Nothobranchius furzeri: one gene and its partners. The protein of the gene in region 6 interacts with the protein of the main gene of each other region in a biochemical or structural test. Links are inferred from orthologs where the notes say so. Each region holds a gene or a part of one and is shown on either strand. Other genes may lie near its edges. The genes, in order: arhgef11, magi3a, sntb1, microtubule-associated serine/threonine-protein kinase 1, erbin, rps6ka1 and Na(+)/H(+) exchange regulatory cofactor NHE-RF2.

Region 1 (3,500 bases), on a different chromosome or scaffold from region 6:
GTCCCAGCACCGAGAAGGAGAAGTGGCTCCCTTTCCTAAAACCTAAAAAGGTGAGAAGGGAAACTGGAGAACGTGTTTTCAGATCAGTTTAGTCTCGGAAACGAGCGTTTTCTCTTTTAACCTGTTAGTATGATTAAATATTTCCCTTTTTGTAGCTTTTTTAAATGACCCAGCTCGTTGGGCCATAACAAAAAATGATGTAAGAGTTAATCAAATGTAATTCATTCAACCAAAAAACCATAATCAACCTGTAAAAACGCTGTTACAGTGGGGAGGTGCAAACTAAAGGTTGGTTTATGCTTGACGCGTCCGCGAGGTTCGCACGGCTCCGCGCGGAAAAGTTGCGTCATTTTAACAACCACGCCCCTCCAACGCGCCTCCGCACGGCCCAGAATTTCCGCAACGCGCACCTCGGAAAATTTCTAACCACGCGGACGGTCGGACGCAGAAAAACATGGCGGACCGGCAAGAACTAGTATGGCAGAGGTTGGTAAATACAGACATTTGTATGATTCAGCTCTCAGAGATCACGGTGATCAACATGTTGTTAATAATTCTTGGAGAGAAATAGCTCGCACTGTCGGAAAAGACGAGGACGCTGTTAAAAATGCTGAAATGCCATGTTGTAAACAACAGTCATTTTTACTTCTACTATGGTGTAGTGTTGGATGCATGCCGTAGAGCTCCATGCTGCCCCCTACAGTTTGGGAGAATATTGGCTCACCGCAGAGACGAGCCGCATGAACCATAAACGCTGCAAGTTGTGAAGCGCGTTCCAGCCGCGAGCCGCATCACCGCGCGGAAAGTGAATGCGTCAAGCATAAACCAAGCTTAAATGTGGCAGCATACCTGTGGAGGAGCAGAGAGGAGGCTCAGGCTGCTGCAGCAGTCCCTCAGGTGTTGGAGGAAGAGCGTTCGGATTGGCCACAAAACATGGCACACTTTGAGTTTAAAAGGTTTTTAACTTCTCAGGAAGCTTCTCTGAACACGTCTGGGTGGTTCCTGGGGGGGTAGATCACCTAGATCTCCACAGTCTCCTGGTTTTTGTTTCCCAAGCACACAGTGCTGAACACTCAGCACACTTTCACTTCAGAACCTCAACCTTTATTTAGTTGGTTTGAACAAAAAGATGGTGAAGGTCACGGCAGGAACTGCGTTTATGGCGAGCGTTCAGTAAAGCGCTCCGTTAGGCTGTAATGTGTTTATGAGCCAAAAACAAAGATCATCTTAGTAAATCTGGCTTTCTAAAGTCAGCACGACCAGGCTTCCCTCAGCTAACCCAAAGACTAGGTGGGTTTGTCGTGTGAGCTGCTTTTATTTGATGTTTCAAGCAAAAACATTCACAACCTGTGTATTCATGCTGATAACGGCGAGGAGCTGCAGTCTCCACCTAAACACTAACAGGCCCAGACCAATTTGAGCTTCCTCCTTCATAATTACGCCCAATTAAAATGTTATCGATCATTTAATATAGTTGCATTTAGTTATTAGGTCAGTTTGTTTCTGATCAACCAGCCAGTGTGTATTAAACCTGGGATTGTTTGACTTTTCCTTCGTCTCCACAGCTGAGCAGCAACAAGAAGGACAAGGATGGAGACGATCGAAGGAAGAATCCCATCCTGAAGTATATAGTGAAGCCCTGGGCCACGTCTCAGTCCAGTAAAATACACACACACCAATCTGAGCGGGAAATCAAAAACCTGCTTTTAAGGACTTGTGATGTAACCACTATGACATCACTGTTCTGTTTGGTTTCAATATTTTAACATTTTTTTATTTTTGTTGAGTTTTTTCATTCCTGGTTTGTTTCTGTTTGGTTTTGTAGCGTTCCACGTCCCGTTGTCGCCCTCAGAAGGTACATGTTTGTCTGCTCTTTCATGTTTTTTGGGGCCGCTCAGAGGAAATAATTAATTGTTCAGTTTTAAGATTAAAGTGGAAACATCAATAAAAACGTCACACTGACAAAATTAACACACAAAACTCATAGTTCAGTATAAAATTTTTCAGAATTAAGTGAAAATGTTGAGAAAAATATTTATTTTTATTTTCTCAAATCTATGAAAAAATGCATTTTTTTTCCTTCTGAGTTGCCCTAAAGCCTTCATTTTTTCCTTGAGTTAAACTTTTATCCTTTAACAAACATTCATAACATCAAGTTATTTAACTCATTCCCTGCCAGCGTTTTCACTGTTTTTTTAAGAGTCACAGAACGTTGCGTGCTAGGATGATGTCAATGCCAAAACTACCAAAACAAAGAAGAGACTCACGTCTTACATCAGGAAGAGTCCGCGTGTTTCGAGCGTTATCCGTTCTTTCATAATCCGTTGTTGAATTGTGATCGGCGGAAGCTTTTCCAGTTCGTGCCTCACTTTTTTTACAGCAGCGGCCCAAAACGATCTCCTAACACATGGATGTTCTGCTTCCTGATCATGTGACGTACACGGTTGAAGATCGGCTTCAGGGCTGAGATGTTTGTTCTCACGGTGCGGGGGCTCGTCCGACGCCCACACAGTAAAAACATGCCAATGACGACTTTAGTCATTGATTCACTTGGACACTTTCTGACTTCATTCACTCATTCATTCACTTGTTCATTCGTTTGCTCACTCACTCATTCACTCGCTCACTTCATTGATTCTTTTGCTCACTCGTTCATTCGCTCACTCACACACTTCATTGATTCACTCGCTTGCTTACTCGCTTCATTCATTCGCTCACTCACTCACTTCATTCATTCGCTCACTCTCACTCACCTCATTCATTCACTCGCTTCATTCATTCACTCGCTTGCTCACTCACTCACCTCATTCATTCACTTGTCCGTTCATTCACTCAATCATTCACTCACTCAACTCACTCACTCACTCCATCATCTATCTTCTAAACCACATAATCCTGCGTGTCATCGTAGGGACATCAGAGACTATCAGTCATGGAATGGCTAGGGGGTGAAGTCACCGGTTTTCATACAGGTTTAATAATGTCTAATTCGACCTAAAAGGTGAAGCTAACATCAGGTAGACTTACCATTTACAAAGCCTCAGTCACACACAAGACCGGTCACGCTTCAGTCACGTGCAACACCGGTCACGCGCAACGCCGGTCGCCGGTCACGCGCAACACCCGTCAAATGCTTCAGTCACGCGCAACACCGGTTCAGTCACACGCTTCAGTCACACACAACACCGGTCACACGCTTCAGTCACACACAACACCGGTCACACGTTTCAGTCACACACAACACCGGTCACGCACTTCAGTCACACACAACACCGGTCACGCACTTCAGTCACACACAACACCGGTCACACGCTTCAGTCACACACAACACCGGTCACGCACTTCAGTCACACACAACACCGGTCACGCACTTCAGTCACACACAACACCGGTCACACGCTTCAGTCACACACAACACCGGTCACGCACTTCAGTCACACACAACACCGGTCACACGCTTCAGTCACACACAACACCGGTCACACACTTCAGTCACACAC
Region 2 (3,500 bases), on a different chromosome or scaffold from region 6:
TTCCAAGCGTCGGCTGCGTTAGCTGCCGTCTGACTGTGGCTGCATTAGCATTAGCAGCCTTCTTTTCATTGTCTGCGGTGAGCCTCGAAAACTCACCGTGCTCCGCCAAGTGTTTAGTCTTTAAATGTCGGATCAAATTCATCGTGTTGAATTTTTTTGAAGTGCTTCCTCCGCGGGGTATGTTTTCGTTGCAAGTGTTGCAAGACGCAAACTTAATATCACTCTCGCACACCGTAAAGAAGTTCCGCACGGCAGACTTGTTTGTCTTCGCGGGTTTGCCGCCACGCGCATGCGCACTAAGCGGGGAGAAGCGGAAGGGTGAACTACCAGCCGGGAAGAGTAAGCGCCAGTGCCAGAGCGGAAATGAAAGGCAGCGATCGGCGATCACAGATCACACACTTTTGCAGGAAAATCGGCCGATAATTATCTGCGGCCGATCAATCGGAGCACCCCTAGTTTTAATCACAAACACCCTCACCAGCCACGCCGCCTGCGGGAACCAGGGCTTGTCTGAGCCGCTGTTGTTTTTCTAGCATCTCAAACTACTTTGAACATTCTCCTGACTTCTGACCTGAAGAGGACGTTTTCATTCACTGGGGATTTTCTCTTTTTCAGACAATTCTTTGTAAAGCCCACAGGTGGTTGTAGGTCCAAATCCTGGTAGACCCAACCATTTATGTGGAGTGTTTGTGAAAGCTCTTTGTTCTTCTTTTAGGTGATGTCATAGTGGACATAAACAGGGCGTGTGTGTTGGGGAAGACTCACGCTGATGCGGTGCAGATGTTCCAGTCCATTCCAATCAACCAATACGTAGACCTGGTCCTGTGCCGGGGTTACCCTCTTCCTGACGACTCCAGCAGCAGCGAGGAAGTGTCGGGGAGCCTCATTGCCTCGAAGGATGCCTCCTCTTCTCCGTCCACTTCCACACCACAGAACGTCCCAGATGGAGGAACCCTGTCCCGGCACACAGCCTCAGTTCCACCCATGACTAATGGAGGAGGACGCCTTCCACATCCCCAGCTGCAGCAACAGAACCTTCCTCTCACCCTAAACCAGGAAGGGCCAGACTCCACTCTGTTGCAGCCGGAGCTGGTGAGCGTACCATTGGTCAAAGGCCCGGGAGGTTTTGGCTTTGCCATTGCCGACTGTCCCCTGGGTCAGAAGGTGAAGATGATCTTGGATGCGCAGTGGTGCCGCGGCTTGTTGAAGGGCGATGTCATCAAGGAGATCAACCGGCAGAACGTTCAAACGTTGAGCCACTCCCAGGTGGTGGACATCCTCAAAGACCTGCCGGTGGGCAGCGAGGTCAACGTGCTGGTGCTTAGAGGAGGTGAGTCCACGGGAAGGAGGGGTCATGCTGCAAACTTTGTTTTTTTTTATCAACCAGAGTTTTATTCTGACACCAAACGGGCTCTAGTCTAAAGATGAAGTGGAAGTGTGTCCCTCACACAGATTTGCATCACCTGTTGCTTGCACAGCACTTAAAACAACAACAACAACAAAGCAATGGGCTGACAGTCCAGTCTGTATTTGAAATGAATTTCTTCAGCAGTGAGGCAGCAGCATGATTCGCCCTTTGTCTAAGATCTGCCGAGTCTAGAGGAGGTCAGAATGACGGAATCGTGTAAATGTTTTCATTTATAAATGACAGGATGGTTTGTGTGCAGCACATTGTGCTTGAATACATGCACACACACACACACACACACTCCTTGTTAAATAAAGCAATTTCACGCTCTAGTCCATGCCAGCTCTGCATCATCTACCTCCCAAAACAGGAAGTAAGCAAAGTGCAGTCACAAGTGCTGGGAAGAAGAGGGGGGGGGGGGGGGGGGGGGGATGACGGTTTTACTGATTCACTCACTGCCTTAAGAGAAGGAGGGAAGGGAAGGCATGGAGAGAGCAGGAGCGTGGTGGGTAATCATCACCACTCGCTTTCTTGCTTCGTGCTTTCACAGATTTGAAGGGCTCGTTCTTTTTTCTTTGCCTTTGCTGCAGTGCAGTAGCCTAGATTCAAGAGATCAACGTTGCACCCACACATCAGATGCACTGAGCCGGGTTCTGCTGTGCGCTCTGGGGGCCTTATCTATCTGTGTGTGTGTGTGTGTGTGTGTGTGTGTGTGTGTGTGTGTGTGTGTGTGTGTGTGTGTGTGTGTGTGTGTGTGTGTGTGTGTGTGTGTGTGTGTGTGTGTGTGTGTGTGTGTGTGTGTGTGTGTGTGTGTGTGTGTGTGTGTGTGTGTGTGTGTGTGTGTTCTGTTTAGTAACTGTAGCGTTTGTAGCTCCCAGAAAACATTTCTATTCTTTGCAACAACATTCTCGTTTGATTAGAAACTGAAATGCAGATGTGCAGGCAGATGGAGAATTTATAAACTTGAACTAGCTTGTAGAACAACGGCACATCAGCGGCAGGAAATCCAAATTAGTCGAAGCATAAAATACTACAAACAACATAAAATGAGCTGAAAATGGAAGAGAGCAGGAAAACGGGCGTGAAGACCAGCGGAGGAAAGGACCTGGTGAGATGTGAGCAAAACTAGTCACATAGTCAAAAATGACCTGTTTTCTTAAGCACTGTAAGACTTTTCGAGGTTAAGGAGAAGAGGTGGAGATGTGCATGAGTGCTGAAGTACAGACCTGCAACGGCTGAATAAAACTTGACGTGCAGGAAATGTTCAAACAAACCAGTAAACGGCTCCTTGAATCTTAAAGTAATGAAATAGTCTTCATTAGTATTTTTAATTACACAATAACCAGTTGTGTCTGTGCTGTTTTTACTGTTTCGGGAAGGGACATTCTCATTCTTCAGGATGCTGCCATGCTTCCTATGCTAAAGGAGCCACTGAAGGATGATGAAGCGTATTAGAGGATAAACACATGTTTCTGTATCAAACTTCTAAAACACTTTAGTCTGTTGGAGATTGCTTTCTGATCAGACTGGATAAATATTCCAAAGTGACCAAAGCGCTCTTAAAACAGGTCAAGTCTCCAAAATCTTTACATTAGTTCACCCAAGTATATATTTGTTGCAAACTTAAGAGTTTTGCAGAGTTTCGTGACATCATTTCACGTTAGCTTTTGTTTAAGTTCAGCAGCAACACGTTTTGGTCGCGGCAGGTTCAGACTAGTCGTCCGTCTCATCAGCTCTGATAGGAACAGACCCACCTGGGTAAGATGGTAATGAGTGATGACGTGAAGCTGCTCAAGTCAAAGGTTCGGATCGTTTGGAGAACAGCTCCTGGTACAACATCTGTTTTAAACATAAGTAAGAAATTCAAATGAGGAGAAACTAAGAACCAAAGTAAACCCAAAAGTTTGCATGAATCTAAAACTTGAGGATTTGTATCTGCAGCAAGTAAGTGTCCACTTTAACCTAAAACACACGTTTCCCCTGGCTGTAGGTCTACCTCCTTCCATCCTGTAACACAGGCCTACGATTCCTGATACTTGAGTCTACTGCCCCCTGCTGATTGAACAGATTCTGTCACTATTGATTTACCCTT
Region 3 (4,132 bases), on a different chromosome or scaffold from region 6:
ATTAAAGTAAAAATAACTCTCCTGCTCCTCATCAAGACAAAACATGTCTTTTGCACAACTCAGTAATTGTAAGTAGCTCACGGTGAAACAACACTTCCTGTGTTTTATTAGGAGTTGTTCAAAGTTATTGAATAGGACACACTCAAAGAAAGATAAAAAATAAAATAGCTATACGTTACAGCCAGTTTATCCATTCAGCTTTGAGGGCCTAAAACAGTCTTGGAGGCCGCTCAATCCTCTGCCTGAAGGAGAAGGCGCGGGTGGGGTCTGTCGTCATGGTCTCTGCTCTGGGTTTGCATCTGCTGCTTTATTCAGTATTCATTATTTAAATAATTTAATCTGTGAAAAACCAGTAAGGACATAAAAAGCAGATTATTTTAAAGATCAAATGTTTTTGATTTACTGTTCAACGTCACCTGATGATAGATAGATAGATAGATAGATAGATAGATAGATAGATAGATAGATAGATAGATAGATAGATAGATAGATAGATAGATAGATAGATAGATAGATAGATAGATAGATAGATGATAGATAGATAGATAGATAGATAGATGACTGTTAAAACAAACATCACCAGTAGGTGTCGCTGTCGCGCCGGTTTAGATCAGTACCAGTGGAAGTTTGCAGATGTTTTAATTAGCCTAATTGACAGCTGCTGTTTGGAGATGATGGAGAACCGTTCCCCTCTTCCTCCACCTTGTTTGTTTGTCGTTTCTACATTTGCTTCTATTTGTTTCTCTTATTTTCTCTCTGATCTACAGAACCAGTAAGACTCGGACTGCGCCCTCGGGGTCTTGGGCTGACATAACCGCTGGGAACAGCTGGAAAAATAAAAAAATAATCATTAGAGATGCGGAGAAACTCCGCAGAGGGTGGGCCTTTAAATGAAAGCCTAAAATTAAACCGCGTTCTCTCCCCTCAATTGCATTCCTGAGTGCGCGTAAGCACGACGTAAGCGCAGTCCTACAGGACAACTAGTTATGATTTCAAAGTTTTTCAAAAGATGTTGAAGGTACAGTTTTATTTCCTTGAATTTTGTCCAAATTACGCACAAAAACACTCGAACCCCATGACTGAAACGGTGTATTGATTTTATTTAATAACATTAATGCTAATGACAAAAGCGTGAAACCGTTTCATTCTGTTCTGAAAAATTATCAGAGCTGCATACGGTTTTGTTTTTATGACTTTAGCACGTGCTTGCGTCATAGCTCAGAAAGTTATGTCTGATGCAAATGCCCATTTTTTTCTTTTTGGTTCATGGGCTGGTCGGTTGTAAGCGTGGAGAGGAAAACTCCACCCAGCAGCTTTAGGACCTCCGGGCAGGCGGAGCGGAGCGGGGGCCAGCCTGCGCTGGCTGATCGAGTCCCGCAGAAAACTTCTGACGAGCAAAGTCCATGCAGCTTGAGCCGGAACGCGTGTGTGTTTGTGTGAGAGAGAACGCGTGTGATTTTACAGAAATGCTCCAAAGATGGCGGTGGTAGCAGCCGCAGGCGTCTCGAGAGGCTCCGGGGCGCACAGAAGTGGATTAGTGGAGGTTTTGGTGCGGGAGCACTGGCACAAAGTTTTGGTAAACTTGAGCGAGGAGGCGCTGACGCTGAGCTGCGAGGATGGCGAGAATGTCAACTCAAACGGGCTCACCAACGGATCGTACCTGGATAACAGCAACACCAACTCCAACAATGGCCCCCAAGCTGTGCGCACCGCTTTCACGGACCTCCCGGAGCGAGTGCCCGAGGCGATCGCCAACAGAAAGCGCTGCGTCAAGGTGACCAAGCAGGAAGTCGGAGGGCTCGGCATCAGCATTAAAGGAGGGAAGGAGAACAAGATGCCCATTCTCATCAGTAAGATATTCAAGGGGCTCGCAGCGGACCAGACCCAGGCTCTGTACGTGGGGGACGCGATCCTGTCAGTGAACGGGATGAACCTGCGGGACGCCACGCACGATGAGGCGGTGCAGGTGCTGAAACGTGCGGGGAAGGAGGTGACACTGGAAGGTAGGCAGCAGTTGGGACACATGCACGTAGAGGGAAGGTGACCAGAGCCCCGGAAGTCCAAACTGTTTTTATATCATACAAACGCTCGTAAACCGAAGCCAACAGGTGTGCGTGGGTTTCGCGTATTTATTTCTGAGAATTGTTGCTGTGATCATTTAATTCAGATGTCCCTGATTAGCTGCAGGACTCCTGGACACCTCAGCCTCTGCGTGTTGGGATGCTTGGTGCAACTTCAGGAGACGCAAAACCAGGTTTTGTTGTTTTGCCTTCATGATTATTGCTGTGGTTAAAAAAAATCACCTTAATGAAGGAAAACAAGGCAGCAGGACAAGATCGAAAGCCTGAAAATGAACCGTGTTTTCTCCTGTAGATAAAAGGCAGCTGATTAATTCGTTTGTCTCTTCAAATGAAGTTGAAGAAGAGCTCAGCTTTTGGTTCCAGACATTTTTTCTGTTGCAGATAAAAACTTACTGGCAGAAAATAGCAGGTGGGATTTTATTAGATAAATAATAGGAATCTTTTGAGATCCAACTTGGATCTTGTTCTTCCATTTGCCTTAAAGAGTTCGATAACTTGTGACTTCCTGAACATTCTGTTTGGAGAAATAACTGATGAGCTACTACACTGCCTGGGCCAAAAACAAGTCACCACCTGGATTTAACTAAGCAAACAGGTAGGGTCCTCCTATTATTAATTACTGCATGTCAAAAAGTGTTTTAACCTCAAATGGTGCAATGAGTCACTTCTCATTCGTTAAACAAACAAGTGGAAAGACACAACTGGTGGTTGTGGAAAAGATGTTAGTCTGTGTGGGAAGGGTCGGGTCGTTGGCGTCAAGCAGAGATGACATCTAATGAGATGCAAAAAAAACTCAATCTGAACTGTCCAACACTTTATTAAAAACTGGTCTGATGAGTCCAGATGGGCCCTGTTCCAGAGTGATGGTGCATCAGGGTAAGAAGAGAGGCAGATGAAGTGATGCACCCATCATGCCTAGTGCCTACTCTACAAGCCTGCGGGGGCAGTGCTATGATCTGGGCTTGCTGCAGGTGGTCAGGTCTAGACTCCGCAACAGGATGTGCTCCAAGAACGAAGTCAGCTGACTACCTGAATATGCGGAATGACCAGGTTATTCCATCTTCCCTGATGGCACGGGCATATTCCAAGACGACAATGCCAGGATTCATCGGGCTCAAGAGCGGTTCAGGGAGCATGAGACGTCATTTTCACACATGGATCGGCCACCACAGAGTCCAGACCTTAACCCCATTGAGAATTTTTGGGATGTGCTGCAGAAGGCTTTGTGCAGCAGTCAGACTACCATCATCAGTGCAAGATGTTGGTGAGACATTAGTTCAACCCTGGATCAAAACAACTGGTGATGTTGCAGAAGCTTATCGAAACAGCGCCACAGCGAATGCGTGTCGTAATCTGTCATTGCACGCCAGGGCAGCTGTGGCTACATTGTAGCTCATCCCCAGCAGCGTGTGAATGTGGGATTCAATGAAAGAATGACTGATTATGTTGTAAAGTGCCTTGGGGGGTTCTAGGACTCTAGAAGGCGCTATATCAAATACAGGCCATTTTTCTTTTTGGGTGGTGACTTTTTTATTTGGCTGGGCGGTTTATGTTTATTTATTTGGCAGACGCTTTCATCCAAAGCGACACACAATTTATAACTTACAGGGCATGTTGTGATCCGTGGGGGAAAACGGAGTACCCGGAGGAAACCCACGCATGCATGGGGAGAACACGCAACTCCACGCAGAAAGGCCACAGCCGAGTTTCGAACCTGCAACCTTCTTGCTACGAGGCAACAATGCTAACAACTGCGCCACCACGCAGTTCTTATGAACAAAAAAGTGTATTAATACAATGTTTAAACAAACATCTCTGTATTTCCACATGGGTTCATGCAACATTATATTATAAACATTAAAGCACTGACATGCATCCCATTGGTATTTACATGGATGTTATTACAAGTGTGAACAGCAGCTGCATGCAGCACTTCTGGTGCATCTGGGAGTCAAGTACAGCAGGAAGTTCCTCATATTTCAGCCAAAACAACTAATGGGGAATCCACCATGGCATGAAACAAACATGAATGAACTCGTTTAACATTTTTG
Region 4 (3,983 bases), on a different chromosome or scaffold from region 6:
ATCGCGAGTAATACGATATCGCAATATTAAGCACTGTTATCGAATATCGCAGGTTTTCCTAATATCGTGCAGCCCTACTTTGAATTGTGAAAAATACTTGTGGATGGATGCACCCCAGTTCCCAGAACAGTCGTCTTAGCGCACCAACCTAGCTTGAATGCTAAGTAAATTGTCATGGTCTGTGTCTGCGTCTCCCCTCTTGTGTCTCCTTGTGCCCTCCATTTGTCTCTAGATTCCCCTTTTGTGTCTCATAGCGCCCTCGTGTGTCCTTTGTCTGCGTCTCATTTATGTTTCTTCTGTTTGTTGCCCTTCTGATCATTCCCCTCAGGTCCGGCGTTCATTCAGTCGTCCCCAGCCCCTCCAGTTGTAGCTCTAGCCTCTTTATTCCCCAGCATAGTGTGTGTATGTGTGTGTGTGAGTGCATGTGTGTGTGTTAGTGTGTGTGTGTGCGCGTGTCCACTCCCCAGCTCAGTGTTTGTGTGTGTGAGTGTATGTGTGTTATTGTGTGTGTGTGAGTCCTTTATCAGTCTTTAGGTTTAGTTTTAGGGTTATCTGCCCTCCTCTGGTTCTGTTCCCATTTAGCTTATTGTAGTCACCTGCTCTCCCTCCAGCCCTCACTCCACACACCTGCTGCTTGTTTCCTTTATTGCTCCTTCCTGTCTATATAAGCCCTGTCTTGTCTCTGTGTTGTGTCTGTCCATTGTGTGGTGCTCTAAGAGAGCTTTTGGTGTCCTGTGTTCCAGGACTTTTGGAATTTTGGCTCGCTGCCTTTTTGGATTTACTTTTGTTTGTTTCATCCTGCAATAAAAGGATAATTTACTTTACTTCATCTCCTGCCTCTTGTCGTCTGAGTAATCTGCACTTTGGGTCCTACCATCCCCTCAACGTGACATAAATCTGCATTGAATTAAATGGTAACTGGCCTGCATTTGATGTAGCAACTTTTAGAGTCATAGAACCCCCCAAGGTGCTTCACAACACACCCCTCCCACCCACCCACACACACACACTGGTGGTGATAAACTACATTGTGGCCACAGCTGCCCTGGAACATACTGACAGAAGCCAGGCTGCTGTACACAGGAGCCACCGGTCCCTCCGACCACCAGCGGCAAGCCGGAGGGTGAAATGTCTTGCTCATGGACACAATGACAGCGACAGACTGAGCGGGATTGAACCTGCAGTTTTAAAGTAAGACATTTTGCCAAAAGGGACTCGAATATAAGTCTTGCCTAAAGTGTAGCCTAAAGTAGTGTAACTAGTGTACTTGTAGTGTCACATATTTGAGACAGTAGTAACAGTTTTCCCCCTTAGAGACAGGGTGAGTTAGCTCAGCCATCCGGGAGGGGCTCGGAGTAGATCCGCTGCTCCTCCACATCGAGAGGAGCCAGCTGAGGTGGCTTGGGCATCTGGTTAGGATGCCCCCCTGGTGAGGTTTTCCAGGCACGTCCAACCAGGAGGAGACCTAAAGGAAGACCCAGGACACGCTGGAGGGACTATGTCTCTCTGCTGGCCAGGGAACGCCTTTGGATTTCCCCAGAGAAGCTGGCCTAAGTGGCTGGGGCGAGGGACGTCTGGGCCTCTCGGCTTAGGCTACTGCCTCCGTAACCCGACTCCGGATAAGCGGAAGAAAATGGATGGATGGTTGGTTGGTTACAGTTTTAAACTATAAGGGGTTTTGCCCAACACTGATAATGGTTGACTTGGTCTATAGCAATTACCTGATGTGGCGGCCATCTTGAATTGGGTTAGGAACCAGGCAAAAATATTATAGTCAGCCTTTTGCCTTGGAATAAAATTTAAAACAGGCATAATGAGTCAGGTTTGTTTTTCTAACCCAAAATTTGGTTCATTTAGCAAAAATAAAGTTTCACTTGACTTAAAGGTCAAAAACTAAGTGAAGACAGCAAAATGTGGTGATGACTGTGCAGTAGATGGATGCCAATATGAAGTCACGCAGCTAAAATGTGCCTTTGTTTACCAATCAGCATGCAGAGAAGAGGTCACGTTAGAGAACATCTCACCTGCAGCCTCCTGCGCCTTATTATCCCAGAGTCCTCCATGGTGTGGTCTCCTACTGGGGGCTCCCTCCCACCAGAACAACCATTTGACCGTTAGTTCGTGTCTGAGCTCGGCGCGACCAGAACTGCAGAACAACAACAGCAGCCAAAGAGTCGCGCGCACTCAGGAGGAGATCGGAGTCACGTCGAGGTGCTCCACATAAACGTCAAACGTTCCCACGCCTGAAGGCTTCCAGCAGCTTCTCTAGCGACCTGCTCCTCCTCTGCTGACACTCCTCTGTGAGCTCCAGCATCCCTCCCGGAGCAGCCTTCGCGTTCAGACGGAGGTCCGCGCGCCTCGCTCGGTCCAGCTGAGCAACCCGAGGCCTGCACGCGCCAGCGCCACTCAGTGCGCGAGGCGAGCAGACGCTTTCAGCCGCTGCTGATCACAAAGGGACGCGCGGCGGCGGGGGAGCGGCTCAGCTCCTCCTCCCTTCCACAAACACCTCCAACAGTTGTTTTGATGCAGCTGCAGCAGCGATGTTTCTGAGCTTGGCTGGGATTCCCTCTCGCTCCTCCTCCTCCTCCTCCTCCTGCAGCCCTGATTCTCCTCATCTGAGCGGAGTAAAAACGTCATCCAGCCCCCTCCCTGCTGCAACACCCTACTCCTCCACTGGATCTGCAGAGAGCGAGGACACGTGGTGTATTAATATCCTGAGAGCTTCTGTCGTGTTGACTCGTTCAGTAGTGGATCAACACGCCACTGATCATCTCATCAGTAACCGAGCAGCTAGCAGCAAGTTTCATTCATTCATTCATTCATTTAAACCTTTTATAGTTCAGAATAAAAATCTGGTCCTGATCAAGTGAGCAGCTTTAAGCACTAAAACTAAACAATGAAGTCGTTAGCCTCAAGAGAAAACTGATCATCAGTGTCCCACGTTTAAAAAATGCAAATGTGGCAGTTTAATGGTTAAAGGTGCTCGTGAGTTTATCACATTTATGTCTTTGAACAGAAGAAAAACATAACTTTAATTTTAAAAAATGCTGTTTAATTAGTGTGCTATGACTTTTGGTAGCAACCATGGACGTAATTTTTTTTGGGGGGGGGGGACAGGGGGGACATGTCCCCCCCACTTTTTCCAAAGTCAAGTTTTGACCCCTGCACTTTTTACCATCCAAAAACAATATTACGCTATATTAAATTGACACTAGTTGAGCTCTAGGACCAAGCAGAAAACAACCGTTTGTGTTGAAGCCGGTTTCCCATTAGCACATACTGTAAAGATACCCCCCCCCCCCCCCCGTGTCCCCCCCCCACTTCTAAAGTGAAAATTACGTCCTTGGTAGCAACACATTCTAAAGTGTGGGCAGAAGGGACAGAAAATGACATTTATTATTATTATTATTATTATTATTATTATTATTATTATCATCATCATCATCATCATCATTAATAATATTAATAATAAATATTATGAAATTAATAATACTAATAATAACAATAGATTTGATTTTAAAGTGCCTTACTTGACACCCAGGGACACGTTACAGTCATGGGAAAAATTAAACAAGATTACAAATTACAAAAATATATAAAAACACTGAGATGTAAAAAATTAAAACTATGTGGTAAACGCTTGTCTGAAGAGGTGGGTTTTGAGTTTTGATTAAAAAGTTGGAGGGAGGGAGTGGTGCAAAGATCAGGGGGAAGAGGATTCCAGAGGTGGGGAGCAGAGCGGCTGAATGCTCCACTCCCCATGGTGACGAGGCGAGTGCGGGGAGCCGAGAGATGAGGAGCAGAAGAGGAGCGAAGTGAGCGAACAGGAGTGGTGATGTGAATGAGAATGGATATGTAGTATGGAGTCAGGTTATGAAGAGCTTTGAAAGTGATGAGCAGAATTTTAAATTCTCTGTTTAATGGGGAGCCAGTGCAGCGTAGCGGGATGGAGGTGATGTGATGAGAGGATGGAGTCCTAATGA
Region 5 (3,500 bases), on a different chromosome or scaffold from region 6:
ATCTTCAGCAATTGTTTTTCAACTTTATTTTGATTTCTGGAAATCATCTGGAGGCCCCCTTTGTCGCTCTGGGTGACCTTAAGTGGGGACCCCTCGACCCCAACTTTGGAAACCGCACATCGATGGGATGCACTGAATGTACCTGAAGAAAATCAGCTAAACAAAATAAATCTAGAAGGAGGATTTTAGAGTAAAATGTTAAACAATATTACATCATCATTACGTTAATACCAACCCATCATTTTTGGATTATCTCACATTGTATTAAAAGCCTGACTGCACCAAATGAATTAAAAAAAATGTAAAAAGGTCAGATTTTCATAGTTTTATTTTGTTTTTTTAGCTATGTGAACATCGGAGAAAAACGATTCAAGATTTATTTTATGTGCTTATTCAGAAGTTAAAACAAGGATAATAAAATCAGCTGAGTTGCCGCTCATTGTGGTCGATATGAGGACCGATTACTAGTCGGCGTTTTACTGTATCGATGTCGGTTCTAATGAACCTAATTAGCTGCTCTAGTGGACCCTTCTCTTTAGTGGTTAAACGGTAATAACTGATCAATACCAGCCTGGGCAGCTGTTGTTGTTGTCCTCTCTAATCCGGTCTCCTGGTTTTCCGGTTTCTAGGCTCCTTAAAGAAACTGAGCACGCTGAAAGTGGATGAAAACCAGCTGATGTATTTACCAGACTCCATTGGAGGGTGAGTGTTGGAGCTTCTAAACTCCTAAAAATCTGTGGATTGTCGTGCGTTTGTCATTACGCATCCGCTGGTCAAAGAAATAAAAGGTCTGTGGATTAATCCTGTGAGGTATGATGAGATGATTCCCAGATTCAGGACTGAGACTAAACCTTTTTCTCAGGCTGATCATGTGCACAGCAGGCAGGTAAATCCAGCTGCTTCAAGTCACAGATTACCATCCATCCATCCATCGTGATTTTTATTTCTGTTGTAATTTTCACCCATGAGAGAAAAAAACTGCAGAGTGGTGCTTTTGTTTCCAAACAGCATCAGTTATCACTTATGTCACAGCATACATCTCCTTCTGAACTTTGGCTTAGATTATGCGACAAAGCCTATGATTTAGCTTAATCCCATGCAATGATTTTAGCCGAAGTGAGCTCTTTTTTTCTCTTTTATTTTTAGCTGATTATTATTTTTATGTTTTATGTGGTTTGTGGGAGTTGAACCCTGTTCTCTGAAATCGCAGGACAAAGTAATTCTCCTGTAATTTATCTAGTTTATTCCCATTTTACCTGTTAGTCCCTCTCCAGCCGGGATTAAGACCCCGCTGAGCTCCTCACCACCGTTAAGATTTATGCTTGATTGCATCAAATGGTGAAAACCTCCTTCAGTGTGACGGGAATCATGATGCTGCTACACTTACAGTATTCCTTCTCATTTCTGCATCCCTAAAATAACTTTTTGTGACTTCACGATGATCTAGTCACCCATGACTGCTTGTGTGTATTAGTTTTTATTAGAGTGAGCATTATTAAAGGGATATTTTGCAACCTTTTCTTATTTTAAAATCCTTTTCTCGAGCCAGTACGTGCTAAAATATGATCCTTTACAGGGTTAATGGAAGGCCACCCAGCCACCCTGTGGCCTGAATATTCCACTTGCATCGTCAGACTACTGGTCCACTCTGTTGGGACTTTTAGCTGACATACCTGGCACTGCACTCTGGTTCCAGAACGTTTCCTGCATGTTTTAGATTGTGAACACAGCTGATTTGTTTAATTTAGTGATGAATCACACCTGTAGACACTAATGAAGGCTGGGAGATGCTTCAGCTGTTAGATTAAGGTGTATAAAAGACAAGCACACAGCAAGGAGATGGGTTTTGGCTTCGGTTCTACAAACGGACACTAGGGGATGCCATAAACAAGCAAAACATCCTAGTTTCTGTTTATTCATCGTGTTCGCTGTGTTTTTTAGTGTGTAATTGTAAAAAGAGAAGGTTGATTGTTTGACTCTTTCAGACTGACGTCAATCGAAGAGCTGGACTTCAGCTTCAATGAAATCGAAGCCTTGCCGTCCTCCATCGGTCAGTGCACCGGCATTCGTACTTTTGCTGCAGATCACAACTTCCTCACCCAGCTTCCCCCGGAGGTGAGCCTGTATATCAGCGTTTGTCAGTCTACTCGGCCGTTGCTGCATCTCGTGACTCAACAGTCCTCCGTGTGTTTCCCTCACAGCTGGGTAAGTGGAAGAATGCCACCGTGCTGTTTCTGCATTCCAACAAGCTGGAGACTCTGCCTGAGGAGATGGGAGACATGCAGAGGCTGAAAGTTATCAATCTGAGCAACAACAAGTGAGTCGGGCCTCACTGGGGTTAAAGGGCACCTTAGATACTAAAAAACAATTAATGCAAGGATGACGTTTAGAAAGTTTAAAGATATTTTCACTACATGACTAATCAGCAGATTGGATAACCTGAGATGTTTTACAGTAGCTGTTCTCAAAGCCCCTCTAGGAGCTTTGCCAGTGATGCTTGACTGTATAAACTATTAAAAGGGGTTAGTGAGCAGGTTGGAAGAATCTGAAGTTTAATTATAAAATCCAGATTAAAAGATTACATCCTGACAAGAAATGTAATATTTTGGTTTGAAAAGTCGAAGCCTGCTTTGCCAGCATCAGAAATGCCAGATGTGCTAAAGCATTTAGTCCACAGCAGCGAAGGGCTGAACGAGAAACCGAATACCCGATTTTGGGGTCAGAAATGGCAATTTCAATTCAATTCATGATTGTCTTCACAAAAAGCTTCAGTGGAATATTCACAATGTACAATAAAATTTATAGAGATGACAGGAAATGACATCATACCATTGCACCATTAACTCATTCACTGCCAGCCGTTTCCTGAGCAGAAAAGCCGTTCGCTGCCAGCGTTTTTCAGCGTTTGTTGTTTTTTTTAAGAGTGACAGAACGTTGCACGCTAGGATGATGTCAAAGCCAAAACTCACAAAACAAAGCAAAGACTCACCTCTTACATCAGGAAGAATCAGCACGTTTCGAGCTTTATCCGTTCTTTCATAATCCATTGTAGAATTGTGATCGGCAGAAGCTTTTCCGGTTCGCGCCTCACTTTTTTTACAGCAGCGACCCAAAACGATCTCCTAACACGTGGATTTTCTGCTTCCTGATCACGTGGCATGTGACGTACGCGGATGAAGATCGGCTTTAGAGCTGAGATGTTTGTTCTTACGGTGCGGGGGCTCGTTCCGATGCCCACACAGTAAACACCTGTCGTTGGCAGTGAATGAGTTAAAAGCTATTACTCTAATGCAAGGAGGAAGTCCAAAGCTACGATTTGGACATTTTTCTGGTTCTCCTGAATGTTTATTCCCACAAAAACACTCCCAACAACAAACACCTACACTTTTTACCAGTGGTTTGTTTTGAACGAGCAGAAGTTGTGCTGTCAAGTCTGATTAGTTATTACGATCAATTCCTTTCTGCTGTTAAAGCAAACGGGCGAATCAGCCTCTTGGTTC
Region 6 (4,242 bases):
TTAAAAATCGGTTTTTGCAGTGTGGAAATCTCAATTTCTAATTTTTTTTGTCATATTTATTGTGGCCACAGGAGGGCATAATGCCATTTAAATGTGTTCCTTTTGTGCTAATTTGTTTGTTTTTCCAAACTTTGCTCATAAGTCAGCCTAAACAATGAAGAAAAATGAAATACTTTCTTTAATAAAACACTGGTTAATTTAATATTATTATTACTTTTACTATTTATTTTAATCATCAGTATTACCACTCCACACACCGTCAGTGGGTGGCCTTGTCACATTAGAGTCCTAAACTGTTGCTTATATAAAGTCAACCACCAACACCCACATATATACCCAGCTGTTCACAAAAGTGACCACTAAGCATGTGAGCAATAACACGGGACGAGTTACATTTTTTAACATTTCAATTTAATTCAAATGGTTCCGGCAACATTAGGGATGCACGATATATTGGCATCAATCGGTATTGGCCGATGTTAGTCCTGTTTTAACATACAAGTATCAGTCTGATATGCAAAACTGGGCCGCAATCAGCAACCAATATTTTTTCCATCTCGTTTTCGTGTGTGTGTGTGTGTGTGTGTGTGTGTGTGTGTGTGTGTGTGTGTGTGTGTGTGTGTGTGTGTGTGTGTGTGTGTGTGTGTGTGTGTGTGTGTGTGTGTGTGTGTGTGTGTGTGTGTGTGTGTGTGTGTGTGTGTGTGTGTGTGTGTGTGTGTGTGTATGTAAAACCTTAGTTAAAATGGATTGGATGGAGAGTAAGTGATGCCACTAGTTCCCATAAATTACCTCAGTCCTCTAAAACACTACAGATCAGTAGAGCTCCTTCAGTTTTGATCAGAACTCTGGAATAAGAAGTGTGGCTCATCAATGGGTTAATAGTTATTTAGACAATAGGAAACAGTTTGTTCAAATAAATGATGCCAGATCTGAATTGAAAGATATTCATTATGGAGTGCCACAAGGGTCGGTCCTCGGACCTAAACTGTTCATATTGTTTATTAATGACCTTATAAATATATCTCATCTACTTGGTCCAGTTTTATTCAGGATTAAATATACATGAAGTAACTCAAGTAATAAACAGTGAACTGATTAAAGTAAAAAAAATGGTTTCATATAAATAGACGGTCATTGAACCTGAACAAAACAAACTATACTGTTTAACAACAAAAGAAACTGTGATGTATCTTTAACGATAGATGGAATGGAAATTCAAAGAGTAAAAGAAACCAAATTTCTTGGAGTCATGTTTGATGAGTGTCTCACTTGGAAATCACATAAGTTATATAAAGGGGAAAGTTGCCAAAGCCATAGCGGTATTATATAGAGTCACATTTCTGCTAAATTGGTCTGTGTTATTAATGTTGTATCACTCGCTGATTGAAACATATTTAATTTATTGTCTGGATATTTGGGGAGCCACATGCAAAACTTTTACTCAACCTTTGTTTATTTTACAAAAAAGAGCATTGAGGATCATTAATAACAGTAACTACAGAGATCACTCAAATTCATTATTCATTAGATATTAAATACTGAAATTTCCTGACTTGGTAGAGTGGAAAATATTGCAAATAATGTACAGAGCGAATACGAGTAATTTACCAACTAATATTCAGAAAATGTTTCATAGGAGAGTAAGTGGGTACATATTAAAAGGGACTGATGTCTTTAAAAAAACTAAATTCAGAACCAAAATGAAGGAATGTGATATTTCTGTAAATGGTGTAAGATTGTGGAATGCCCTTAACAGAGATATTAAAGATTCAAACTCACTTGCTATATTCAAAAAATGCATAAAATCAAATGTATTAAGCAATTGTGAAAAGGTAAATTAAAATGTCAATGATTATATATATAAAAAGTAGAAAGGGACTGAGGCTGTATTGTGTGTTTTACAGATAATTTTCTTTTGTAAAAAGGGGCAGAAATGATAAGATTTTTCTTCTATCTGCTCCTTTTCATTCAAATGTTTTTTTTTCATTATGTTTATGTATTGCATTTGCTTGTGTTTATTTCATAAATTTTGAATGAAATAGAGTAAAAAAAAAACAACCTCTTGTTATTGTTTACATTCAGGGTGCGATGGCCGCCACCTACTCCGCCCTGAAGAACTCCCAACCCCCTCCAGAGCTCAAGCCCATCGAGAGCTCCTTCCTCGCCCAGAGGCGTGTCAAGAAGCTGCCGTCCACCTCCCTGTAGAGACTCAACAGCTGATCAGGTCACCGGGGGCTCACCAGCACCACGCGGCTTTGCTTTGGGACGTTGCGTCCAGCCTCCAAATGAAAAGAATATATGTATAAAAAAAAAAGATTTAAAAAACAGCCAAGGAACACAAACAGTGGTCCTGCACTTGCTATCTGTGTGTGGGCCGATGTGATCCGAGCAGCAAGACGAGGGGGGAGGGGGGATGTCTTACTGCCGTGTGGATGAGCGACATGTGAGCGAGTGATTGCATGAACCTGCAACTGTTTTTGATGGTGACATGAACGTTTTCTCTCTGGATCGTTGCTGTAGTTGATCCTCGCTGCACGCTTGTCCGTCTGCCTGTTCCGTTGTCCGTCTGTCTGATTTTCTTTTTTTTGTTTGTTTTTTTTGGGGGGGTTTTTGCAGAGTTGATGAGCTTTATGTTTCTAAATGCGCTGCCAAATCAATCTGCACTCACACACACACACACACACACACACACACACACACACACACACACACACACACACACACACTCACACACACACACACACACACACACACACACAAACTGTTCAGCTGCTGTTCAATGTTTTTCAAAGAGCATAATTTCATAAAAATATAAAACCTCTTTCCACAAACGCCTTGTTGGTTTTGGTACAACCAAACCAGATGAGGTGGATTCTGGGGAGGAAGAAAAATACACGAGTATTTGCTTTTACAGTGCGATTGTGTGCGAGTGTGTGAGTTTGTGTGTGTCAGTTGCATGACTTGCAGTTTATGTTTGTTGTCTTGCGGGATGCTGCAGAGCCGTGCATGGTCTGGTGACGTAATGATGTCATGTGGCTTCCTCGTTTTTTCTGCTCTCCCTTTTCTCAGCTTCGTAAATCTGTTTGCAAACATTTGAAATGTTGACTATTTTTATGACTACAAAACTAGTAAAGTAGGTGGCTTTCCGTGAAAGAAAACCTGCCCGAGGAACAATGTGGCATGTTGCAGTTTGCTAAATGACTTTTTTTTCTGAAAGATGTATTTTCAAGGCTGTTTCTTGTGTTTTCAGCTTTTGTTGTTTGGTTTTTCATCTCAAGAAAGTGGGGATTTAAAATGGTAAAAGACACGCTGAGCTGATCTGTGGACTTGTTGCCTTGCAGGTCTCTTCTTCTTCCCTCATTGTGGAATTTCCCTTTTTATGCAATTCCTGAGTTTGGAATTCACCTTTTTTTTTTCTACACTCGACGGACCTTGATTTTGAGATGTTCTGAAGAAGTGTGTCTCAAACCGATTCCCACAGATGGGTAGGTCCTGCTTTCAGCTCGGTGCCTACATGTGAGGAAGCATGTCTGGAGTAGAAAACGGGATTGAGAATGAAAGAAGGAAGGACCTGTAAGGCTGAATAATCTGTTAGCCAGCTTTCTTACCTCTAAAGGGATCAAAGTTCTGATATATTTCTTGTTTGGTGGTCTTTTGACTGATGGTATTATGGTAAGATGTTATTGTATGATAAAGATGAAGATTTTTATATCTTATGATATTAAAGATTGAGTTGCTATGATCAAGTGTCCTGTTGTTTTCTTATTCCTATAAAAGAAAAAGCTCATAATTCACCTAGAACAGGCTAAATCCCTTTAGCGGCACTTAGTGTGGACATTTTGGTGTCGCTGCAGGCAAATCCGAAGAGAAGTGGATGTTTAAACTTTCTTTTCTGCTCAGTTTATTGTCCCTCAGATTAAAAAAAATCTGATTTTTGCAATCGTGCACAAAGAGACAGGAAACAATGATACAAATAAATCATCAGTTTTATTTTATTCAAATTTTTCATAATTTTGCGACTATTTTTAATCGTTTAATCACATCAGTTCTCTTTTTTATATTTACTACGCTGAAAATCCTCAGATGAATAATCAATAAATTGTAAAGCAGTTTGCTTTACAAAATTAATGTTTTCCTAATGTCTCCATAAAGAAACACTAGAGGGAGACAAAGTGCAAATGTCTGTATGCTCAAACTCAGGCTCTTATGTTTGTAAATCCAGGATCCTGTTAGGACATCTTT
Region 7 (4,040 bases), on a different chromosome or scaffold from region 6:
TTGGAGAAACACAGACCACAGGTGTGAATGGAGAATGTTTATCTGTACTGATGAGGATTTTATATTTTCATCTGAATTTTCATGTAAAGTAAAAATTTCTGCAGTTTCAAAGTTCAAATGGTGTTTAAAAGCCTTTAGATGAACTGCTAGAACAATGATGAGATCTGAGTTGTTTTAATACAATAGAAACCCACTTTTAATTTACCCTCCTGGAACTAATCAGTAACTTATTTGCCTAGACACAATCAAATTTTACTATTCTCTGTTTACCTGCCTGCCATTCTAACCAAACTACAACCTTCACCAGAGCTGGGGAGTAAGCAGCTCCAGTCAAAAGATCTCTGCCAGATACTGGGAGATCTTGATGGATCAGCCGAAGTTCCCCAGTCATACTGCTGTCACCTCCCTCAGACCAGACGCTGTTCTTGTGTCTGAGGCCAGTAAGCAAGTTTTGCTGTTGGACTTAACAATTCCCCGGGAAGAGCCCTGGAGAAAGCTCTCCAAGTATGGAGTGGACTGGTTGGAGAGTGAGAGTGAGGTGCTTCCCAGTGGAAGCTGGATGCAGGGGTTAGATCCCTGCTTGATCACTGAGTTGCCTTGGCGTAGAGGATAAGCATGAGACACGAGCCATCAGCAGCACCACCACTGAAGCAGTCGAGTCGAGGCAGTGGAGGACGAACCACTGATGTAGATTGTTCTTAATATTTTTCAGAGTTCCAATTTAAAAGATCTGAAGGATCATTTTGGTGATTTCAAAATCATCTTTCCTGCTTTCAAACTTGTAAATATGAAGTTTAGTAATTATTGTAACTTTGGAAATCATAATTACAAGATCAAAGTCATAACTATGACTAAAAATAACACCATAATTACAACCTTGACAGTTATTAAAAATTATATTTATGACTTTAAAAGTCAGATTTCTAAGACAAAAGGTTGCAAATGTGATTAAAAGTTATAAATCTGAGATGTTACCATAACTGTACCCTAATCGAGCCAATATACGTTTCCCGTTATTGTGAGATGTATCATTTTGAAGTTAAAAGTCACCACATTGCCTGATATTAGGCACCAACAATGAAATAGACAGGAAATATTTTAAAGAACTTTTTTTTTAAATTTATTTAAAAGTTGATCATTTATCATAACTAACCCTGATCACTGACTGTTTCCTGCCGCCGGGGGGCATCAGTGCATCACTTACACTTTCTATTTGTTTCTCTTCCAGAGGAAGGTGGTGCTGTTGCTCACCAGCCGCTCATCGTGCGCAAAGATCGGCGCTGAAGCTGCAGAAGGATGTGCTCTCCGGACGAATGTTTTGGATAAACGCAGGGAGTTTGACCAGTAACCATTTTCACTTTTACAGTCTGCAGAGCGCACCGGTCCGAAGGTTCTGGAGCCCCCGGTGGTTTGGGTCCGTTTTGGAGCAGCGTGCCTCAGAGCCGGACACACGGTCCAGTTGACTGGAGTTCGTAGCTTTTAGGGAATTTAAACTTTTCCGTTGTTGGATCTGGAGTTGTGTTTGTGATGTGAGGGCGCGCACGAGGCCAGTCGGGATGCACGCTGGAAGTTTAGCCCCGCACCCGTTGTCCTGAACTCCCACCTCTTCTTTTCGCGCATTTTCACCGCATTTTTACTCTACTCGGGTCTGCAGGAAGGTTCGATGCGAGAAGAAGAGCAAATGGCCAACGAGCGGAAACCGCGGCTGTGTGTGATGAATAAAGGGGAGAACGGGTATGGCTTTCACCTGCACGGAGAGAAGGGGAAGAGCGGACAGTTCATCCGCCAAGTGGAGCCCAACTCCCCCGCAGAGGCGTCGGGGCTGCGCGCCGGGGACCGGGTGGTCGCCGTGAACGGCGTCAACGTGGAGAAGGAGACACACCACCAGGCGAGTGGATGTGTGCTTTCATATTTATGATTAGAGTCGAGTTACATGTCTGCCTGCGAGGGTGCATCAACAGGTCACACACACACACACACACACACACACACACACACACACACACACACACACACACACACACACACACACACACACACACACACACACACAAAGTGCGCAAAACCCGCCCCCGCCACACTAATCTAATCTGTCGCATTGAATTTACAGACTTTCAGCATATTGGCATATTGTTGAGGCTGATAAACACTCAGACGCTTCAGCTGCAGACTTTGTTCTGTCTGAGCCCAAAATGATCTGCAACTATCAAATATCTCTGCCCCAAACCAAGTTAAACTGTCTTATCTGTCAGGTCACAGAGCAGCAGGAGGTTTTTACTTTTGTTTCATCACTCTTCTGATGGGTAATGGTTCTTATAGATTTGCATTTATCTGTGTAATTCATTTTAAATTCAGTTGAGTTAAAAATCTGATTCAGTTTTCGACTTCATTCCTCTCATCCACTAACTGTCATTGAGGCCTGACCTCAAATGTTGTGTTTTCTCACAACTATGGTGGTCTGATGGTGGGAAACAGTAACAGATGAGAGAGAGAGGGGGGTGGGGCGTGGGGGTCAACTATTTAATCCACTAAATTTTGGCATATGATTGGACAAACCTTTGATTGGTTTGATATAATTTTTCTCCACAAGCATATACTCAACATGAGTTTATGCACGTTTGTTTTTTGTTGGAATTTGGGACACTGATTTTGTTTTAGAGTGCCGAAACCGATTTCTGACTCTTGTAACAGCTCAGACTTGCTGATGCTGGTTTGGCCCATTCAGATTCATCTAACTAACATTAAAGAGACAATGTGTAGTTTTACCATTAATTTCTGGAAACATCCATCAAAATGTAGTTGAAAATGAATGAAATGAAGCCCAGTTGTTGAACAATATTGGCAGCGTCGTAACATCTAACCATAAAAATCTGGTCTAAAATAAATGGGAGCGGGTCTAAGTCTCTGGGCGACGCCATATTAGATGCTATGTTTCCTTCTACGGGTGCCCATGAGGACAAAATGCATCTACTGATTTGTAACAAACCGTTACAAAACTTTTGTCATTGTTAAATATGTTGTTTTACACGTTTACCTCTTCAATTGTTGCCAGTGATGAAAGAGAGTCTGATGTGCTTATTTTGCTAAAGTTTGCACTCCCCAGGGCTTTTAGACCCTAATGGGCTTCCGTTGGTAAGGTCTTATTCCAACACAAAAATACAGCTTTCTTACAACGATTTAGGTATCTACTGCCCCCTATGGCCAGAAAAAATACACACTGTCACTTTAAAGCGTTCATTCCGGAGCTAAAACCTTGCACATGTAACATCAGTTACTAACATCGATGAGCAGTTGTCTGGTGAGTTCACAGACCAGGAAAAATGTCAGATGTTTTATTGTTGACGCCGCTTACAGATCAATATAAAAAAATCAGAATTCCGAGTTTCTGATCACCAGACAATCTAGCTCCTCTCTTAATTATTTTTTCGTCTAAACTGTTGTGTTTTAGCCTGTTGTTGCTATACCCATGAACATCTTTAGTCTATTATTTTAAATCCTCCCAGATTCATGAGCTAATGGCTGGGACTATTTAAACCAAAACGTTTCACTGCCAACTTAAAACACCTTTAATCTCCCAAATCTCACAACAACAGCTAATGTGAACGTTTATTTAGAAACCTTTACATCACTGTTAGTGGTTACGTCAGCTGGAACTGTCTGACTCCTGCTGGATTTGAGCCCTAAAAGCACCATAAAGAGCTGAAGTTTGATCATGTTGCAGGTTTGTTTTGTCACCTCATACTTAAACAAGGGCCTGACAGCTGGGACATTTAAAACAACAACCATAATCTAGTTCTTACATTGTTAAAGGTGCAGCATGTAAGAATATAGTGAGAATTTTACAGTGAGAAAATCCCAAAAGAGTTTAATGTTTCTGTCATTTTAGAAGGAAGGTTATAGTGAAATATATTAGCTGGATGCTGGGATTGTCAGTTTTTCTCCTCTCAAAACAAAGGAAGGAGGGACTACTGTTTACCATCAGTGAGTGTGGGGTTGCCGTGTCTCCTGCGAGTAATACTGCAGCGCTACAATTGTAATGT

The links.
Region 1: the proteins of rps6ka1 (region 6) and arhgef11 interact in a test that uses a peptide from one of them, tested with the Homo sapiens proteins (2 studies listed by BioGRID and IntAct). The link is inferred for Nothobranchius furzeri from reciprocal best matches to the Homo sapiens genes RPS6KA1 and ARHGEF11.
Region 2: the proteins of rps6ka1 (region 6) and magi3a interact in a test that uses a peptide from one of them, tested with the Homo sapiens proteins (2 studies listed by BioGRID and IntAct). The link is inferred for Nothobranchius furzeri from reciprocal best matches to the Homo sapiens genes RPS6KA1 and MAGI3.
Region 3: the proteins of rps6ka1 (region 6) and sntb1 interact in a test that uses a peptide from one of them, tested with the Homo sapiens proteins (2 studies listed by BioGRID and IntAct, with this or other methods). The link is inferred for Nothobranchius furzeri from reciprocal best matches to the Homo sapiens genes RPS6KA1 and SNTB1.
Region 4: the proteins of rps6ka1 (region 6) and microtubule-associated serine/threonine-protein kinase 1 interact in a test that uses a peptide from one of them, tested with the Homo sapiens proteins (2 studies listed by BioGRID and IntAct, with this or other methods). The link is inferred for Nothobranchius furzeri from reciprocal best matches to the Homo sapiens genes RPS6KA1 and MAST1.
Region 5: the proteins of rps6ka1 (region 6) and erbin interact in a test that uses a peptide from one of them, tested with the Homo sapiens proteins (2 studies listed by BioGRID and IntAct). The link is inferred for Nothobranchius furzeri from reciprocal best matches to the Homo sapiens genes RPS6KA1 and ERBIN.
Region 7: the proteins of rps6ka1 (region 6) and Na(+)/H(+) exchange regulatory cofactor NHE-RF2 interact in a test that uses a peptide from one of them, tested with the Homo sapiens proteins (2 studies listed by BioGRID and IntAct). The link is inferred for Nothobranchius furzeri from reciprocal best matches to the Homo sapiens genes RPS6KA1 and NHERF2.

Annotation. Positions count from the first base shown.
Region 1 is NC_091754.1:62,118,656-62,122,155, forward strand, and holds part of arhgef11 (rho guanine nucleotide exchange factor 11), read left to right. Parts: coding exon 1-50; intron 51-1,565; coding exon 1,566-1,659; intron 1,660-1,825; coding exon 1,826-1,855; intron 1,856-3,500. UniProt on the Homo sapiens protein: May play a role in the regulation of RhoA GTPase by guanine nucleotide-binding alpha-12 (GNA12) and alpha-13 (GNA13). Acts as guanine nucleotide exchange factor (GEF) for RhoA GTPase and may act as GTPase-activating protein (GAP) for GNA12 and GNA13.
Region 2 is NC_091755.1:38,365,285-38,368,784, reverse strand, and holds part of magi3a (membrane-associated guanylate kinase, WW and PDZ domain-containing protein 3a), read left to right. Parts: intron 1-715; coding exon 716-1,330; intron 1,331-3,500.
Region 3 is NC_091745.1:41,784,301-41,788,432, reverse strand, and holds the start of sntb1 (beta-1-syntrophin), read left to right. Parts: upstream 1-1,332; 5' UTR 1,333-1,477; coding exon 1,478-2,003; intron 2,004-4,132. UniProt on the Homo sapiens protein: Adapter protein that binds to and probably organizes the subcellular localization of a variety of membrane proteins. May link various receptors to the actin cytoskeleton and the dystrophin glycoprotein complex.
Region 4 is NC_091752.1:70,159,192-70,163,174, forward strand, and holds the start of microtubule-associated serine/threonine-protein kinase 1, read right to left. Parts: upstream 2,801-3,983; 5' UTR 2,064-2,800; coding exon 2,025-2,063; intron 1-2,024. UniProt on the Homo sapiens protein: Microtubule-associated protein essential for correct brain development. Appears to link the dystrophin/utrophin network with microtubule filaments via the syntrophins. Phosphorylation of DMD or UTRN may modulate their affinities for associated proteins.
Region 5 is NC_091746.1:65,237,735-65,241,234, reverse strand, and holds part of erbin (erbin), read left to right. Parts: intron 1-629; coding exon 630-702; intron 703-1,985; coding exon 1,986-2,115; intron 2,116-2,201; coding exon 2,202-2,317; intron 2,318-3,500. UniProt on the Homo sapiens protein: Acts as an adapter for the receptor ERBB2, in epithelia. By binding the unphosphorylated 'Tyr-1248' of receptor ERBB2, it may contribute to stabilize this unphosphorylated state.
Region 6 is NC_091758.1:28,116,427-28,120,668, reverse strand, and holds the end of rps6ka1 (ribosomal protein S6 kinase alpha-1), read left to right. Parts: intron 1-2,082; coding exon 2,083-2,205; 3' UTR 2,206-2,224; exon of another isoform or gene 2,225-2,350; intron 2,351-3,341; 3' UTR 3,342-3,742; downstream 3,743-4,242. UniProt on the Homo sapiens protein: Serine/threonine-protein kinase that acts downstream of ERK (MAPK1/ERK2 and MAPK3/ERK1) signaling and mediates mitogenic and stress-induced activation of the transcription factors CREB1, ETV1/ER81 and NR4A1/NUR77, regulates translation through RPS6 and EIF4B phosphorylation, and mediates cellular proliferation, survival, and differentiation by modulating mTOR signaling and repressing pro-apoptotic function of BAD and DAPK1.
Region 7 is NC_091752.1:53,773,839-53,777,878, reverse strand, and holds the start of Na(+)/H(+) exchange regulatory cofactor NHE-RF2, read left to right. Parts: upstream 1-1,240; 5' UTR 1,241-1,663; coding exon 1,664-1,888; intron 1,889-4,040.